Linked DNA regions of Sus scrofa. Each later gene encodes a partner of the first gene's protein in a complex. Links are inferred from orthologs where the notes say so. Each region holds a gene or a part of one and is shown in the gene's direction. Other genes may lie near its edges.

Region 1 (3,648 bases):
TCTGTCTGCAGACAGACCTGAGTGTCACCCTAGTTCTACCACAGCAACTTCTGCTGGGACCCTGAGCACTTAACCAACCCTTGGTGCCTCACTGTCCCTACACATAGTAGCAGGTGACAGTCCCTACCTGCCTCCCTCCCAGGCTGGTATGGAGTTTTTCCAGACCACAAATATGAAGAGACATACTCAGAAAGCTCGGGACAGTATATGTGTCTTACCCTGAGAGGGGGACCTTGCAGAGGTGCTTCTTAGGAGCCAGCCAAGCTCACCCCTCAGTTAAAGTCTCAAGATGCAAGAGCAGGTCTTTGAGTGACTGTGTGGGGCACAGCCCAGTATCCTGGGGATGGCAGTGGTCAATCCATCAGCACCTCCCTGGAATGAGGCTCCTTGGGAGGCTCGCAGGTGTTCAGTCCCCCTTCTCCTCCCGCCTCTTAGCTTGACCAGCATCCCCATACCTGCCAGGCCCCATCGCCCACCACTTCCAGCTTCCCTGTCTCCCCTGCAGGCTGTTCGACGTCGGGGGTCAACGATCTGAACGCAAGAAGTGGATCCACTGCTTCGAGGACGTCACGGCCATCATCTTCTGCGTCGCGCTCAGCGGCTATGACCAGGTGCTCCATGAAGACGAGACCACGGTGAGTGGCCTAACTGGCCTCAGTGGCCCACGGAGGCTCTGGGGTGGGCGTCTCTGGTGACCAGGGGTTGCAACATTAGGCGGATGGTACCTGTTCCCTTTTCTGACTTCATTACCAGGCAAATGCCTAGTGATGCCTTGTAATACAGCAAAGGCAGCCACGGGCAGCCCTGCTCAGAGGCTGTGCGGACTGATCACAAACATCTCTGCAGACTCTAGGACTCCGGGCAGTAAGTGCCTCTTCAGTAAACACAGCAGAGTCACAGAGGCCGTCAGGCCAGAACCAAATTAAGCAAATTCTAAAAGAAATCAGGGTGCAGTCAAGAAGATGTAAGACAGAAATAGCTACTCCTAGCCCCGAAGGTCTTCCCTGAGCAGTGGACAGGCTGCTGCCAGGAGCTTAGCTGTGGACGGGGCTGGTAGCGGGAAGGGCAGAGGGATGTGGCACATGGGTGACAGCCAGGGCATGAGCCCCTCATCTGGGGCACACCAGCCCAGGTTCCCGCCTTCCGTCAATGCGTCTTTGCTTGGGGCTTCAGAAAACTGTCAGTCTGGCTTCAGAGGGGGCCCTCACCTGGATAGAGTGCTGCCTCACTCTGGGCCTGGGCCTGGTTTGCTGCTAAATTCAGGCCAGCCCTCTCTGTCTCAGTTACTGTTATCTGTCTGAGGGGTGTAACAATGGTACCTGCCTGGTGGGGTGTTGGCGATGGAGTGAGAATCTGTGAGAAGTACTTGGAACCGTTTCTGGCACAGCAGCACTGAGCTGGTGGTTGTGTTGTTACTGGGGATCATCCTGAGCTGGGGGGCCCACTGAGCAGCCCACATCCAGGCTGTAGCCTCAGAGCAGTGGGCCTTCCTCAGAGCAGCGGGCCTTCCACAGAGCCTGCAGGAGAAGCCAGGTGTTTGCGTGGTGCACCCGAGGGTTCTCTGGAGACAAGCACCTGCCGGGATGGAGCTCCTGGGCTGTGGGGGCATGCCCTTGGCAATGGTTAGCTCCTTCTGTCTGAAGCATGCACAGACCCCTGGCCTCAAGCCTTCTAGAACTGGAACTCAGGGCTTGGTCATGGGCCAGTCACCTCAGGCCTTAAACAAGGCCTGTCTTCTCGTTGGATGTGTCTCCGCGTCAGTTTTGCCTGCTGGTCCCATGGGGCTGTGCAAAGATCTGCTGGGCTTTGGGGTGTGGTGCTGTGGGGAGGATGAGCCGCCGTCCTGAGAGACTTATGCAGACATGAGGCTGTGGGCAGATTGGGACCAGGGCCACTGGCTGGGTGTGTGACCCGGACTCGCACCACATGCTGGCTTGTCCCCCTTGCCCTTCTCCTTCGGTCCCAGGTACACTCCCACGTTGGGCATCGACAAAGCCCCCAAGCTTTGTTCCAGGGTGAGTCTCTGGGGCCCTAGCTGTGCAATTCTTTCTGGTAACGCCATCATTCTCAGTGGCCTGAGCAGGCTCCGGCATCTAAGATCCAGACCCAGACCCACTGACCACCCTAAAGCCCAAGCCTGCTGCCCCTACAAGGCACCTGCACTTGTCCGTTGTTGACTCTGTGACTACTGTTCGTGGTCTGAGCTCCACTTGGCTCATCTTTCTCCCTGTAACACCTGGAAGTGGGCAGCTGGTGCAGTGAGCGTGAAGCTGATCCAGCCATGGGTTTCGAAGAAAGCAAAACACTGGAGGGTCGAGGGCCCCAGGCCTCTCCTTGAGGACCCACCCAGCTCAATCCCAAGTCCCAGGCCCATCAGCCTTGGGGAGGGGCTTGCACTCGCCTCTGAAACATAAGGCAAAGCAAAGGGATATTTGGTCAGGTCTGGCAGCCACGGAGCCCCAAGCTCCATGGCCATCGGGACTCCAGTGAACACAGGCAGGTGCCAGGCCTTGCACCCAGATGGCCTTCCTGATCTGCCCATTGCCAGGCCACTGCAAACTCCTCACCAGCCCTCATTCCTGAGCAGGACCCGTCTTGGGGCGCCTTCTTCCTCATCTTTCTGCCTCTACTGTCTGTCTCTCACCCTTCCCCTCACCTCCCTCCGTCGTCCTCACTTCCCTGCCCTTCACAAGGGCTGAAGCAAAGGACCTTGGGGAAACAAAGGCATGTGGGGCTACAGCCGGGAACGGGCTCTTTCTGCCCAAGAAGGAGCAGCGGGCCCTCCAGGGCACAGGAGTTGGCTTCGCAACTGAAAGAGCCCACAAAGGCACCTCATGGCCACAGCGACAACAAGAATGGCGCCGTTACTGTGTTACTGTAGAGCTGAGCAAAAGTCTTTGTGCCCAGGACCAGCGTTGGGCGACCAGGGGGCTAGGCGGCTATGGCCCTAGGTCCAGCATTGCCCCTGTCACCATGTGAGTGTGACGGCCACCCCACTGGCTCCTTCGTAAAATGGAGATGGTGGTGGAGAAGTTTCTGGCGGCTGTGAGGACCTCTAGGCTTGGAGGTGTAAGAGGGCCTGCCCTCAGGACTTCGCACTCAGTCGATGGCAGCTGTGGGGTGGCCGTGTCCAGGCGCGTGGCTAAGGGACAAGCTGTGGGACACGGACGCTCTGCCCCCAGGAGGCAAGAGCTCCTTCCTCTCTGGTCAGCCCTGCACCCTCCCTGGCCTGGGGTGAGGACTGGGGCTGCCTGAGAAAAAGGTGTCCCGAGGCGGCTCCTGGAGCTCGGCCAGGCACTTGGGGCTAGTGGCTGCCTTCCCACTGGCTGGCCACCTACATGCCACAGCCCGGACCCCAGCAGCCCTGGGCCTCACCTGCCACAACTTCTCAGCACCACTGCCGTCATCACCGCCTGCAGGGCCTTAACTTGCCATATCAAGGCCAAAACCATGAGCAGATTCTGAGACACCCTCCAAGCCGGGCAGGTATGAAGCGCCTCCTTCCAGTCAAAACCGTCAACTAAGAGTTGAAAGCAGCAGATTCCCAGGGCACCGCCGGGTGACATTGCTGTGATGCCTGCTCCCCACTCCCACGTCCCACACTCCTCACCAGCCGCTCGGCTTAGGCTGGTCTTGCCCACCATCCCC
Region 2 (3,648 bases), on another chromosome or scaffold:
TCATCACATGGTTAGCTTTTCAACATGTGCTTAACTAGTGGCAAAGAAACAGGAAAAGGTGTCCTAAGACTTAATCCCAGTCCTTTAGGTCTATAGCCCATAGAAGCTGTATGGGCGTTTGCTCAGAGCAGGTGCAGAGGGAAACGGGGTCCAGGGCACCCAGGTGCAGGGAGGAGGGAAGTGGGCTCCCACGTGCGAGGGGGAAAGTCTCCTCTCCTGCTGAGGTCCTTGCTCAGGGGAGAGCTTTTTCCATCCTCTGCTCAGCAGAAATCTCAACGGACAGGCAAGAACCCCGCCTCTGATTTCCAGGTGTTTCAGAATTAGGAGCAGCAGAGAAGGGCTTAAGTTGCAAGTGAAGAGTTGGTGGGATGGGCCCAGCGACTGTTGGAAACGGCTCTCTGGCTGCACTCACGCACCCCTGTGTTGCAGTGTCTAACTTTGTCGGTGTTCAATCTGGAGAAGTTAACATCTATCCTGGTCTGTTGAGGCAACTGTTGGGAGCAGGGCTCGTGCTCTCAGCTGAGATGCCCTGGGAAACAGCTCCACTGTGCACCTCGTGTCGGAGCTTGCTGGGTTTTAAAGTTACAGTGTTCAGTCTCTGCCTTCCTGTTCCCAGGACCCTAAAGCAGGCTTCCTGTTACCCACATGCATCTCACATACAGGACAGAATTATTCCTATGGAGTAGGAATAAGATCAGTCCTGAGGAAGTTTTGTATAAAACCCACTATATGAATTGAAGGTTGACACTGAAAGCAGGTTTAATCCTCACTCTACTCTGTGAAAATTGACGTAAACTTATCTCATAGGGTGCTGTAAAGTGCTGGGTTCCTCTTCTGTTATAATCCAGGTCTCTCCTTCCTTTTTCCTGTTCTTCTAGACGGCACAGACGGTTCTGGTGGTGGTCGTGGTTTTTGGGGTTTCCTGGCTGCCACACCACGTAATCCACCTTTGGGCTGAGTTTGGGGTCTTCCCACTGACCCCCGCCTCCTTCCTCTTCAGGATCACGGCGCACTGCCTGGCGTACAGTAACTCCTCTGTGAATCCCATCATTTACGCGTTCCTCTCGGAAAATTTCAGGAAAGCTTATAAACAAGTATTCAAGTGCCACATTGGCAAGGAATCCCCTCTTCATGACACTAAAGAAAATAAAAGTCGACTAGACACCCCACCATCAACCAATTGTACTCATGTGTGAAAAAAGACAGACTTTTCTTAATGTGGTATTTCCATACGTGGATGAGACACACACAAAAATGCATTGAGGTATTAGGCAAGGCAACAACTTAATAGCCACTCAGATTATATTAAGTAAATTCCACTTGTGTTTAAAAAGTACTTTGATCTATATGGAAATCGCTAGGTCTAGTGGAGATTATTTCTAAATTTTATTTTATTTCTAATTTCTATTCCCCACACAAAAGAGAATGATGTATTTTTATACCCCTTAAGAAGTGAAAGTTCAGGAGAATTCCAGAGATATATTCAATTCATCATAGGAATAAGGACCTATAAAGACGGTCAGGAATATATGTGACCTACATTTTGAAGCAAATTTATTTAGAAAATACGTTTATGCTTCAGTTCTTCTATTTTTAGATGAAGGGTAATGTTATAAAGTATGTGTTTTCAGATATGATTATGGACCCATGAAAGTTTTCCCTAAACTTTATTTTTGTGGCCACTTACATAGAGACACATCTAATCAATGGAAATAAATTTATTTTCACTGGTCACATTTGCTCCCAGTTGTAAATAGTGTACAGGGCTTCTGAGATGTGCCGTGTCCATCTGTGATCACGAGGTCTATTAAGTTTATCTCAGGAGGTCCACAGATGTTGCAGCTGTGATCCTGGGGTGTTAGCCATCGAGATGTCAAATAAAAACTCTCCTATGAACTTGGTTTTTGTACAGCTGAGTGAAAAAATATCTGGGAAAAGCAACATCTGCAACTATTCTAAAGTGGAAGCTGGGAATGAGTTTCTGAGAATGAAACTGGGCATTAAAATTATATAAATATATGTACTTGGCCAAGGTAATTTGCTATGCTTTGAAATAATTCTGCCCAAAAGAGAGAACTTTAAAAATGTCAGTGAAGATGATGTGTAGAAAATAATTCCCATGAATTCAGAATTCAGTAAGTCACGTGAAGAAAGTGTACTAAATGTTTGGTTCAGACATGGTTTGAAGAAAACAAGTCTTGTGAATGGAGATACCGAGGGATATGTTATCTCGGACAAACATATTTTTTTCATTAAATTGGTAAAAATGTCTAATGCTTTTACCCCAAATATAGTTCCATCTGGAAATGTTAATTTGGTGTTCAAATCATCATGACTTGAGTTTCAAGGGTAGTTTTGTGACAATTTTATATTTATTCAAGTTTACAACTAGAAAAGGGTATGAAAAGACGAAATAATTCCATATTAAAAATAGTTTTCAGACTGCAAGACTCTGATACATTTTAGGATGATACAAAAGCACACCATTTTTTAAAAAAAAAACTTTTGTGTAATATGCATCTGTGTCCAATCGGTGGTTCATGTGAAACATTTAATTTTAGATCAAAAAACCCAACTTGATGGAAGCCGTTGCATGTTTACTTCTCTCGTTCATGAATTTATTTTCACTAATTGTATTCCTCCAGCAAACAGCGTTTACATCTGCCACGGTATAAACACTTCTCTGGACAGGAGAAGAGCAAATGGTCAGAGAGGATGGGACCTCATCAGCTTTTCCGTTTGATGCCCAGGGAAAAAGTTCTGTATATGTGTGTGTATTTTAAAGAACAGCATATGTCCTTTGCATGGAAAATTGTTTGCACTTTATTCAGATACAGCTGGATATAGCAGCAGAAACGCTTTATCCCATTGGTGATACCTCATGTGCTTTTCGAAACTTGAGCTGCCACTGGCAATGCAAGACAGCCTCTGTGTGTGTGAACTTGCACAACTGCAGGAAGCTGTGCCTCCTGGTTGCCTCTGGGATTGCATGGGGGAAGGCAGTGATTTCCTGCACCAGAGCTGTTCTCGTGTTTCCCCCTTCTGATTCCTATGCACATGGAGTATTAAAGCAAATACAGTGGTGAATATTGCTATTTTCTCAGAAGTCTTTGCCCATTAAATCTTGGTTCCTCCCAGATGTTTCTGGTGGGGGCGAGACGCTGGAGGCACAGCCCTGCAGTGATGGACTTGCCGAATCCAGGTGTGCCGAGTGTAAATTCAGATCGCTTCGTTTTATAGTTAGAGAGGATATTCTTTCTGCTCAGTGTCATTTTAATCTGTTCCTTGTGTTCAGAGCTTTGATTGCCAGCCCCTGTCACAGACTTTGCTGGGGGTTGGTCTCCAAAGATGTAGAAGCCTAGTAGGTGGTGATGCTTCCTGGGTGAGGAGTTCCAGGACTTCAATGCCACAAGGATTTCATTACCAGCCAGGGGTTGAGGAGGCTATGAACTTGCCGGCCATCTGCTTCCTGGGCTCTGCATTCCTCCTGTGTCATTAACGGGACCAGTTCAGAAAGAAGCACCTTCTCTTTCTTCACTGAATAACTGAGGCCTCCCACCCCAACACCAGTCACCAGATTCGAGGAGAGACATCCGGTGCGCGTTTGAAGCCAGGCTGCTGGAAAGCCTTGTTTTTTAGTGAACTTCA
Region 3 (2,883 bases), on another chromosome or scaffold:
GCAGGCGCGCAGCCGCCCGGCCACCCCCAACACCTTCTCTCCCGAGCCTTGAGCTCCTGCCCCAACTCACGCCGCCCTCGGACCCCAGCCTGTCCGGTTGAGCTCAGCGCTCGAAGCTCGCCGGGCCAACGCCCAGGAGACCCCCTGCCTCGGCTGCGGCTCCTGGAGGGCCAATAGCCCACCCGCCCGGGCCCGCCTGAGGACGGGGGCGCCTTCATGCGGCCCCTAAACCCCTCACCCCGCCGCCGCCGCCGCCGCCTCCGAGCTCCGCGCGCTGCTCCCCAGCCCCAGCAGGGCACGCAACTTTGGAAGTCCCGCGGCGCTCCGAGAGGCGGCAGAGTCAGCACCCTGGCCCCAGCTCGGGCCCCGCCGGCCACGCCGTGTCTGGGGGAAGCGAGAGAGTCGGTAATCGCTTCGGGGATGTAAGGAGACAGACGTAGGACCCCAAGCCAGCATCAGCACCCCTCGGCTGCCTCCCGGGGTGGGGGCGGGCCCCGCACACGGTAAGACCTCTTGCTTTCGCTCAGGCTCAAGAGTCAAAGATATAGATATATAATTTCCTGTCATTCTTCCAAGTCATCAGGCCACAGATGATTTTGTTCTCCCTTCTTGAAGAATAAATCTCTCTTTCCCCAACGGCTCGACCTACTCTCTCCCGCCGCTTAGAAATAAAACTTGGCTGTGTTTAGGGAGCGGGAGCGAGAAGGCGCAGACCCCCAGCGCCCGAAGCGCGGGCCGGGCGCAGTTAGCGGGAGCCGGGTCCATGGGCCGCTAGCGGTACCGCAGCTCGTGCCCGGCCTCCCTGAGGCCCCTTCCCCATGTGAGGCGCGGCTGGGCGAACGGGGCGCAGGAGGAAGAGGAGGACCTACAGGCGCGGGGCCGGAAGGCAGCTGGCAGCAGGCCCAGGCGAACGGGCACCCGCGTTCATGTTCCGCCAGGAGCAGCCGCTGGCCGAGGGCAGCTTCGCGCCCATGGGCTCCCTGCAGCCGGAAGCGGGCAACGCGAGCTGGAATGGGACAGAGGCGCCGGGGGGCGGCGCCCGGGCCACCCCCTACTCCCTGCAGGTGACACTGACGCTGGTGTGCCTGGCCGGCCTGCTCATGCTGTTCACCGTGTTCGGCAACGTGCTTGTCATCATTGCCGTGTTCACAAGCCGCGCGCTCAAGGCGCCCCAGAACCTCTTCCTGGTGTCTCTGGCCTCGGCTGACATCCTAGTGGCCACGCTTGTCATCCCTTTCTCGCTGGCCAACGAGGTCATGGGCTACTGGTACTTCGGCAAGGCGTGGTGTGAGATCTACCTGGCGCTCGACGTGCTCTTCTGCACGTCGTCCATCGTGCACCTGTGTGCCATCAGCTTGGATCGTTACTGGTCCATCACCCAGGCCATAGAGTACAACCTGAAGCGCACGCCACGCCGCATCAAAGCAATCATCGTCACCGTGTGGGTCATCTCGGCCGTCATCTCCTTCCCGCCGCTCATCTCCATCGAGAAGAAGGCAGGCGGCGGTGGCCAGCAGCCGGCCGAACCGCGCTGCGAGATCAACGACCAGAAGTGGTACGTCATCTCGTCTTGCATCGGCTCCTTCTTCGCGCCCTGCCTCATCATGATCCTGGTCTATGTGCGCATCTATCAGATAGCCAAGCGCCGCACCCGCGTGCCGCCCAGCCGCCGGGGTCCTGATGCGGCCGCCGCGCTGCCGGGGGGCGCCGAGCGCAGGCCCAATGGCCTAGGCCCCGAGCGCGGCGTGGGTCGCGTGGGCGCCGAGGCCGAGCCGCTACCCGTCCAGCTCAACGGTGCCCCGGGGGAGCCCGCGCCCGCTGGGCCCCGCGACGCTGACGGGCTGGACCTCGAGGAGAGCTCCTCGTCTGAGCACGCCGAGCGGCCCCCTGGGCCCCGCAGGTCCGAGCGCGGCCCTCGGGCCAAGAGCAAGGCTCGGGCGAGCCAGGTAAAGCCCGGGGACAGCCTGCCACGGCGCGGGCCGGGGGCGCCCGGGCCGGGGGCGCCCGCGACTGGGGCCGGGGAGGAGCGCGGCGGGGTCGCCAAGGCGTCGCGCTGGCGCGGAAGGCAGAACCGCGAGAAGCGCTTCACTTTCGTGCTGGCGGTGGTCATAGGCGTGTTCGTGGTCTGTTGGTTCCCCTTCTTCTTCACCTATACGCTCACGGCCGTAGGCTGCTCGGTGCCGCCCACTCTCTTCAAGTTCTTCTTCTGGTTCGGCTACTGCAACAGCTCGCTGAATCCGGTTATCTACACCATCTTCAATCACGACTTCCGCCGCGCCTTCAAGAAGATCCTCTGCCGTGGGGACAGGAAACGGATCGTGTGAGCGCTGAGTCCGCTCCCAGCGAACAGACTCCAAGCCGTCCGCTGGCAGCTGGGATTGAGGGGCGCGTCTATGTAGTCCTTAGCCCTCTGAAACCCGGGTCCTGCCTATTCCGAGTTTCTTGTCGGGAGGGTTGCTCTGCGGCGTCCTGCCAGCATCTGCGCTCCCCTACCAGAGAAAAGTACTGGTTGCGAGGGCCCCACGCCGCCCCCCACCCAATTGTTTTTAGGGCTGCTCGCACTCAGAGCAATCTTCCTGGGTTCTTGGGCAGCTCCAAATCAGTGTTGTTTCCTAAAGGTATTTTTTCCCTCCCCTGGGTCCAGCTCTCAAAGTAATTCAGAGTAAGCACGAGAGCCCAGAGGGCATGGTTCACAAAGGGTTAATAGATAGGGGCTACCCAGCCCTGGCAAATTGCCCTCCCCTTCCCCCAACTCTCTTTTTAAACAAACCGAGCAGGGCAGCTCTGCCGCCCTCCCATCCCCACCCTGTAAATACTCACTATTTTTGATAGTACGGGGGTGGGGGCGGGGTGGGGAGGGTGGGGATGGTCCCCGGGGTTGGG

Evidence for each region.
Region 2: the proteins of GNAO1 (region 1) and GALR1 are in contact, whole or in part, in a cryo-EM structure (PDB 7XJJ), measured with the Homo sapiens proteins. The link is inferred for Sus scrofa from reciprocal best matches to the Homo sapiens genes GNAO1 and GALR1. Residues at the interface, in NP_066268.1 of Homo sapiens: Ser264, Asn316, Glu318, Tyr320, Asp337, Asp341, Ile343, Ile344, Ala345, Asn347, Leu348, Arg349, Gly350, Cys351, Gly352, Leu353, Tyr354; in NP_001471.2 of Homo sapiens: Thr70, Arg133, Ala136, Ile137, Ser140, Arg141, His226, Leu227, Leu231, Asn233, Ser235, Lys236, Lys237, Ser238, Ala240, Ser241, Lys244, Thr245, Thr248, Leu306, Ser307, Glu308, Asn309.
Region 3: the proteins of GNAO1 (region 1) and ADRA2A are in contact, whole or in part, in a cryo-EM structure (PDB 7W6P), measured with the Homo sapiens proteins. The link is inferred for Sus scrofa from reciprocal best matches to the Homo sapiens genes GNAO1 and ADRA2A. Residues at the interface, in NP_066268.1 of Homo sapiens: Ile28, Lys32, Lys193, Asn194, Leu195, Asp218, Phe336, Thr340, Asp341, Ile343, Ile344, Ala345, Asn347, Leu348, Gly350, Cys351, Gly352, Leu353, Tyr354; in NP_000672.3 of Homo sapiens: Arg77, Arg146, Ser149, Ile150, Ala153, Ile154, Asn157, Leu158, Arg160, Pro162, Ile234, Ala238, Arg241, Arg383, Arg386, Phe387, Val390, Leu391, Phe444, Asn445, His446.

Annotation. Positions count from the first base shown.
Region 1 is NC_010448.4:29,432,236-29,435,883, reverse strand, and holds part of GNAO1 (guanine nucleotide-binding protein G(o) subunit alpha), read left to right. Parts: intron 1-505; coding exon 506-635; intron 636-3,648. UniProt on the Homo sapiens protein: Guanine nucleotide-binding proteins (G proteins) function as transducers downstream of G protein-coupled receptors (GPCRs) in numerous signaling cascades.
Region 2 is NC_010443.5:147,447,425-147,451,072, reverse strand, and holds part of GALR1 (galanin receptor type 1), read left to right. Parts: intron 1-878; coding exon 879-1,196; 3' UTR 1,197-3,648. UniProt on the Homo sapiens protein: Receptor for the hormone galanin. The activity of this receptor is mediated by G proteins that inhibit adenylate cyclase activity.
Region 3 is NC_010456.5:121,468,601-121,471,483, forward strand, and holds ADRA2A (alpha-2A adrenergic receptor), read left to right. Parts: upstream 1-971; coding exon 972-2,324; downstream 2,325-2,883. UniProt on the Homo sapiens protein: Alpha-2 adrenergic receptors mediate the catecholamine-induced inhibition of adenylate cyclase through the action of G proteins.